Linked DNA regions of Drosophila melanogaster. The protein of the gene in region 1 binds, or shares a complex with, the protein of each later gene. Each region holds a gene or a part of one and is shown on either strand. Other genes may lie near its edges. The genes, in order: ND-13B and ND-30. A codon is read from its position in the direction of its gene.

Region 1 (3,495 bases):
TCTATTTCTGTGACTCATAGCAACTGGCAGACTTAAAAAATATTTTTCAATTGCAACATTTTCTTGCAAATAGAGCATGATCATAGAATTTAGCCCAGTTACTTAATATTACTACTTTCTTATCGTTTGAAATACTATTTTATTTATGAAAAAAATCACGTTTGTCGCAATTTTCAAAGCATTTGTGTCCCTGAAGCTTATCGTTTTTTTTGTGTTCGAAGTTACTGAACAGTTGTAAAACATATTGCAAGTACATAATCCTACAGATAAAAACTACTTAGCATATAATTGCATTAATCAAAACTTGCACAGAACAGAAGCTGTGCGCCGTTTGGCTAAATGAATTTGCATTTTGAGACAACAATGGATTTGCAAGCAAAGTTGTTAATATTCCGGAAATGATTTTATTGAAATTTTACAGGAAAATATCAGCAAACACAGCTATGGCGGTGCAATCGACGGACGGACACGTAATACTCTTCGAGTGCCCAGAGCAGGTTCGTATGCCAACTTATTCGTTTATCTTCAAAAAGAAACAAAAAGTTAGAACATTTTTCTGTGCTTGTCTATGTTTTTTAATTGTGCTTGTGACTAATGCTGCTTAAAACCGCGCTCTTTAAACTATTTGGGTAAATCACAATTGATGGTGTAAGTAGCTTAAGCTGGTGGTAATCGATTTTAAGTGACTTAATAATTTGCTTCATTTGTAGTTCCCGAAACCGATGATGATGACAACGACGATCGTCCCTTTGTTAAAGATGGCAATGATAATCCCGGCGTGGATGACGGTCTTTTTTCAACTGTTGGAGGCAACGGAGGCAACGGCGGCAATGTGAATGTAAACGTTCCCAATGGAGGAAGACGACCCAGTTTCTCCTTTCCGGGATACAATGGACCCGGTTTTGTGACGATCAACGGCGTGGAGACACCCATACCCGATGTGAATGCATATCAGCACAAGAAGACCCTGGCTCAGGGAATGATGGACCTGGCACTTCTCTCCGCGAATGCAAATCAATTGCGTTATGTTCTGGAGACGAGCTCACAACATCCTTACTTTTATCCCAGTCTGCTGTTCATCTCACTCAGCATTATATTCCAGGTAAATTTCTATAGGTGCAAATAATGCATATATTTGTAAAATCAAGCTTAAATATCCAATGAACGCAAGATTTGATAAGTAAATTCCACACATGTATAACTTACATTTCTAAACTATCAGAATATTCTTAAGATGATAAGAAAATTCATTAAAAACAAATATATACAAAGTAATCAAAGGTTTTAGCCCATTTATTGTAGTATAAAAACAAAGTAGTTTATCTTAACCAGATTTCACTGTTTTGCTTAATAACCATATTTTTGATGACACACACTCATAATTTCTTTGTCATTTCAGATTGCTGTGGGCGTGGGCCTTATATTGAATGGCCAGTATAACATCAAAAACGGTCACGATATCTGCCGGGCGAACAGGATCAATAATTATACAGTTAGCGGCATTTTTATAGTCACTGTGGTCAATGTTCTAATATCAGCCTTTACTGTGGACAGAGATACTGTGCCTGCTTTACCCGCCAATACAACATAGTTTAACTTGTATTTTAAATAGACTTTAGTATTATGAACACACAGATGCATCTTTAGATAATACTCACATTGTTCAAACCTTGTTAAATTTCACTCAGCGACTCATTTTTCTAAACGCAACAATGAATTGTGATAAATAAAATCCCACGAGCATTTCTCGCTTATTTAAATAACTGAAATGCTGTTTTTCTTACTTTTGGGCGTTTTAAGTAAGAAATGAATAAACTTTCTTAAATGTTATAAGATACGTTCACATTAATATTAAATACTTATAAACCAGTTGTTCTTTGGATATTCTTTGTTATTAATATTAAATTCTAATAACTCAAATGCAATTCTATTTATACTATTTAAATCAATTTTTGGCGCCAAACTATCGTTTAGTTGCGATAGTTTACGTAGTGGCATTTCACAGCACTGTGTTATAGCCTCGACACTTCACAGCACTGGGCAACAGCTGTTACAAAATAAAGTCGTGCGGAAAATTAAGCATTTTCGGCTAAAAGTCTATTGCAAACATGGCCAAGATCATTAAGGCGGTAAGTTCAAGGAACTCAAGTGAAGCACCTGCTCGAGAACCTACAAAAGAGAAATGACCGACTAATCCCCGCTTGAGTTTCGCGGCGTTTCTTCAATTGTTATTGTTATGTCATCGCTTCCTTCTGCAGTCCACAGGTTTGACTGGACTCGCCGTGTCCACCAATCCACACCACACGCTGAGTGCTCTGTATGGCAAGATTCTGCGGGCGGTGTCCAAGATGCCACAGGACGCCAGCTACCGCAAGTACACGGAGCAACTGGTCAAGCAGCGCGCCGATTCTGTGGCCCAAGTAAGATTATTTGGAAACTTTGCTAATTTGGGTTTACCAAGTGGATGGTACCTTCATCAAAGCATATGTAGCACCTATATAGACCGTGCAACCAAGATACAGATCCTTACACTTGTTATTTGTATTAAAGACTGTTATTTTCTTGATCATCCTCCAATTTCCTTTTTTTTAATACAATCTCTAACTTTCTCACCCGCAGCACAAGGACATCACTGCCCTGGAAAAGGCCGTCGGTTGCGGTCAAGTGGAGGAGCTAATTGTCCAGGCCGAGAACGAGCTGATCCTTGCGCGCAAAATGCTCGGCTGGAAGCCCTGGGAGAAGTTGGTCCAAGCCGCGCCTGCCAAGCAGTGGGACTGGCCACCAGCCCAGATCATGGAGCCCAAGGTTTAGATTCACACTTAGTACTAATTAATCTACAGCAAATCGAAATGAGAAGAGAGCAATAAATCCGTTGATAAGCCAGTGGCTTTATCAGCTAAAAAATAATTGAGCTTTAATCAAATGAATAAACCTGGAACAGCACCACAAGATCAGCCACATTCAAGCAATCGATCCACTGACGATCTCAGTTCGTTTTCAACATGCGTGCGCTTCAGTACCTTCTGCTACTGCTCGTCATCTCCATCGGCTTGGCGGCATCGGTGCCTCGCCAGCGTCGTCAGATCGATCTCACGGTTTCGGCGGAGCACGACGACAACGATGAGGAGACGGAACTGGCTCTGGAGGCCATCGCCGGGCTATGGAGCAGTGCGGACAGTCGGACGAAGATCGATGGCTCTGCCAGCCTGGTGCATCGAACACATGGAACACAATCGGGTACGGGCAGCACCAGATACCAGGCCAAACTGCATCTACACCATGACTATAAGACCAATGCGTATCCCTCGTAATCCAAGGTTCGGAGCAGGACTTTCGCGTGGGCGTGCGTATTACATTCGACAAATAGAGCCGTGAGAATTCCAGACATCAGCAGGCGGGCGGCCGGGGACAAAATCGAGCGATTGCGTGAGGAGACAGACGGCCACTGTATAAACAATCCCACTGACGATAGATAACATTTTGACCTTCTCGGGC
Region 2 (3,533 bases), 7.5 Mb from region 1:
CGGACAGACGAACCTTGTGTCTGTGCAACGTGGACATGGGGATTTGCAACTCACTGCTGATGCTCTTTAAAGAATGTCCATTCTTCAGTCGCTCGTAGGCCTCTTGCAGGGATGGTCGTTCCCGATTGTTTCGCATGTAGGCGGGATTAGTGCGCACGCGTCTCCAGAGGACTGTCTTGGAGATATCAAACCGGTCGGCGGCCTTTTGTAGGCTTAAGCCCTCGATGATAACCGCGTCGGCCGCCAGATCCAAAGCATCGTTGATATCGTCTTTTACCTCACGTTTCAGAGCTGCGAACTGCTGGATTCGCGTTGGCTTGCAATCGGACAATCGTTTGACAGCCTTCGCACTTATGGGGCGACGGATTCGCGTCTTTCCCCCGCCCAACTTGCGGGGCTTATCGTCTATTTCCTCGTCCACAAGTTGGTCGTGCACGTCGTCATCGTCGTCCATTTCAGTACCAGCTTCTAGTTCCATAAGAGGATCGGCTTGCGCGAACTCCTCGTCGATCATTTGTGATTCGTGCTCCTCAGAATCCTCAGCAAGGTCCGCATCCACGTCATCATCGCCCAGGTCCACTTCAGCGCCACTGGTACCCGTTTCATCTGCCTCAATTTTGGACAAACTCGATGCTGACTGCGTTATGGTGAAAGTGCCCGTGTTCTCGGTGAGTATAAATTGGTTGCCGCTGGAACTTCCGTCCATGTGCTCGATGGAGTAGGTGATCTTCGGCGGCTCGTAGACATCAATGTACTCCAATGACCGACTGGAATGGCTGGGCTGGTGTTGAGAACCCGCGAGTGTAGTGGCTGGGACGGAGACCATCGGATGTGGCTCTTCCTCGTCGTCCAGCAGCTCGGCCTCAGCGATTTGGAGTCCTGTAATGGACTTGGCCGACTCCACGGCTAACGAATGGTTCTCTACATCGACACTGGGTGGACTAGCCGATGGATTGCACTCAAAGCTGATGGCAGATTTGATGCCGAGGAGGTTAATGGCCTCCAGGAACTCGGGGAGCGACGCGGAGGGCAGGCTAGTCTCGCCCATGTAAATGAAGGACAGCATGCACTCCAGCAAATCTCCGCGGATGTCGGGCAGCATTATGGTTGCCTCCTGGCCGCGCGGAACGTCCACCAGGAGGTTGCGCATCAGTTCGCTGCAAGTGCTTAGCACGAATAGATGGGCGCGCACTCGAACGCCGTCCCTGGAGGCCAGCACCACCTCGCAGTGCTGATTATCATTACGCAGCGAGCGCTGGATGTCCATTATCGTGGATGAGTGGCCCATCCACTTAAGATGATTCTGCAAACGGCGACGATTGTAGATTTAAATTTCACTTATCCCGGGGATTTGGGAGGACGCGTTTCACTTACCATCTTGTTGTGTTTTGATTTCCAATTGATTTCCAAGAAGTTTTCAATTCTCGCAATTCCAAACGCAACGCGTTGTCACAGTTTTCAGCCAGGGTAGTCGAATGCACCTAAGATCTCGGTATTTCGGTATGTTTTCCATGAGATGTACTTCAAGGAACGTGTTGGTATTTTTAATGAAATAATAAATGAAGTAGTAGGGTACATTTCTTTTTTTTAAAAATCATTTAACCAAATATTCTAGAAAAGTTTTGTGGTTGGTAATGAAGAATAATTGTAAATGTTTTCCATCTGCTGTACTTCAAGGAACGTGTTGGTATTTTTAATTAAATAATAAATCAAGTAGTAGGGTATATTTATTTTTTATATAAATCATTTAAGCAAATATTCCAAAAAAATGTTGAGGTTTTTAATGAAGAATAATTCGGTGTTAACGTACACGAAATACAATAATGTATGTGCGGTATTTGTGTTGTACCGAAATTGTCAAAATACCGAAGTAGGGCTGTCGAGTAGATTAATTTGGCGCACTGACAACCCTAGGCTCCAACAACTATATTGACATTTTAGCATTACATAAATTGTCAAAAACGGAGCAAATTGTTGAATTTATATTGAACAGTTTGTAGAATGGCGGCCTTAATCAGGAATCTGGGTGCCCGTGCCGCAGTCGCCGCTCTGTCGGCCAAACATGGTTGGTAAATGCCTTGCCTCTAGAGCTTCAACTGATCTATTCTAACCCTTCAACAATCAGTGGTGCCCGCTGCTGGATCCACTGCTCTTCGGATGGCCAGTACAACGCCAGTGGAGCCTAAGAAGGCGGATAAGCGTAGGTAAAAGTCGACTTTATCGCGGTGTCAATTACATGTAAGACATTCCACCCACAGCCACTGTCCGCCAGCCGGACGCAGTCGCTCGCTCGCATCTCTCCGATTTCGGGCGCTATGTGGCCGAGTGCCTGCCCAAGTACGTGCAGAAGGTGCAGCTGACCGCCGGCGATGAGCTGGAGGTGCTTATTGCGCCAGAGGGCGTGGTGCCCGTGCTGCAGTTCCTTAAGGATCATCATCAGGCGCAGTTTACCAACCTGGTTGACATTGCCGGCGTGGATGTGCCCTGTCGCAAGAACCGATTCGAGGTGGTCTACAATTTGCTCTCGCTGCGCTACAATTCGCGCATCCGCGTTAAGACCTACACCGATGAGCTGACTCCTCTGGACTCCGCCTGCGAGGTGCATAAGGCGGCCAACTGGTACGAACGTGAGATCTGGGACATGTACGGCGTGTTCTTTGCCAACCATCCCGACTTGCGCCGCATCCTGACCGATTACGGTTTTGAGGGACATCCCCAGCGCCGCGACTTCCCGCTGTCCGGCTACGTAGAGCTGCGCTACGATGATGAGAAGAAGCGAGTCGTCTGCGAGCCCTTGGAGTTGGCCCAGGAGTTCAGGAAGTTTGACTTGTCGGCGCCTTGGGAACAGTTCCCCAACTTCCGCAACGCTAATCCCCCCGCCGAGGTAGTTCCGCCACAGGCTCCAGCCAAGAAGTAATCCGAAGTCGGTTTGTTAAATGGTAATTAGATCAATAAAACGTGATCACTATGAGATGTTTAAACATAATGGAAACGACGGTCTACTTAGCTATTTAGCTTTCTTGGCTCGTTCCTAAACTACTTCCACATGAAAACGCAATTCGTATCAAACCAGAGGGTCACAAGTATTTATTGATTTCCGTATTGTTTACATACATGGTAGTTTACACTGAGAATTAAACGAATTCGCCGGATCTAGCACATCCGAAAACCTCCTCGAGGGCCATGTGCATATACGTACATACATACATAGATATAAAACGTTAAGTAAAACAAGTGTGGGCCACTAGACAATTCGTGCGCCTGCGCAGCGGTGCCCGGCGAAAGTACAGGTGCAAGGACGTACTTAAGTTTAGGCCGGAGCGGATTGGGGTAGTGGTAGTGATAGTTGTACTTGGTGAAAACCTTATCGTAATTCGAGCTTCGAGCTGCACCGTCGTCAACGTTTTATTTTTGTTAGATTTTAGTTCGGTTTTTTTTTTGTACAAGAACATACACATATAGTACATAGATACACACACATAAACATATTATTACATTTAGCGATTTAAAAAAGTTTTCACCCCGCATTCCGA

Evidence for each region.
Region 2: the proteins of ND-13B (region 1) and ND-30 are in contact, whole or in part, in a cryo-EM structure (PDB 8ESW), measured with the Drosophila melanogaster proteins. Residues at the interface, in NP_648409.1 of Drosophila melanogaster: Tyr28 (codon at 2,319), Ser43 (codon at 2,364), Tyr44 (codon at 2,367), Tyr47 (codon at 2,376), Thr48 (codon at 2,379), Leu51 (codon at 2,388), Arg55 (codon at 2,400), Cys74 (codon at 2,656), Gly75 (codon at 2,659), Glu79 (codon at 2,671), Gln83 (codon at 2,683), Ala84 (codon at 2,686), Asn86 (codon at 2,692), Glu87 (codon at 2,695), Ile89 (codon at 2,701), Leu90 (codon at 2,704), Lys93 (codon at 2,713), Met94 (codon at 2,716), Trp97 (codon at 2,725), Lys98 (codon at 2,728), Pro99 (codon at 2,731), Trp100 (codon at 2,734), Glu101 (codon at 2,737), Lys102 (codon at 2,740), Leu103 (codon at 2,743), Val104 (codon at 2,746), Gln105 (codon at 2,749), Ala106 (codon at 2,752), Ala107 (codon at 2,755), Pro108 (codon at 2,758); in NP_647775.1 of Drosophila melanogaster: Tyr66 (codon at 2,315), Glu69 (codon at 2,324), Cys70 (codon at 2,327), Leu71 (codon at 2,330), Pro72 (codon at 2,333), Lys73 (codon at 2,336), Tyr74 (codon at 2,339), Val75 (codon at 2,342), Gln76 (codon at 2,345), Lys77 (codon at 2,348), Leu89 (codon at 2,384), Ile90 (codon at 2,387), Ala91 (codon at 2,390), Pro92 (codon at 2,393), Glu93 (codon at 2,396), Val96 (codon at 2,405), Pro97 (codon at 2,408), Gln100 (codon at 2,417), Phe101 (codon at 2,420), Asp104 (codon at 2,429), His105 (codon at 2,432), His106 (codon at 2,435), Gln107 (codon at 2,438), Gln109 (codon at 2,444), Val119 (codon at 2,474), Val121 (codon at 2,480), Cys123 (codon at 2,486), Arg124 (codon at 2,489), Asn126 (codon at 2,495), Glu129 (codon at 2,504).

Annotation. Positions count from the first base shown.
Region 1 is NT_037436.4:10,692,631-10,696,125, reverse strand, and holds ND-13B (NADH dehydrogenase (ubiquinone) 13 kDa B subunit), read left to right. Parts: upstream 1-2,017; 5' UTR 2,018-2,108; coding exon 2,109-2,129; intron 2,130-2,258; coding exon 2,259-2,420; intron 2,421-2,619; coding exon 2,620-2,811; 3' UTR 2,812-2,942; downstream 2,943-3,495. Other genes in the region: NijA (ninjurin A), read left to right, coding at 422-497, 711-1,102, 1,400-1,591; CG33493 (uncharacterized protein), read left to right, coding at 3,003-3,311.
Region 2 is NT_037436.4:3,157,941-3,161,473, reverse strand, and holds ND-30 (NADH dehydrogenase (ubiquinone) 30 kDa subunit), read left to right. Parts: upstream 1-1,895; 5' UTR 1,896-2,001; coding exon 2,002-2,065; intron 2,066-2,125; coding exon 2,126-2,200; intron 2,201-2,258; coding exon 2,259-2,917; 3' UTR 2,918-2,989; downstream 2,990-3,533. Other genes in the region: CG15812 (uncharacterized protein), read right to left, coding at 1-1,303, 1,375-1,377. UniProt on the Drosophila melanogaster protein: Core subunit of the mitochondrial membrane respiratory chain NADH dehydrogenase (Complex I) that is believed to belong to the minimal assembly required for catalysis. Complex I functions in the transfer of electrons from NADH to the respiratory chain.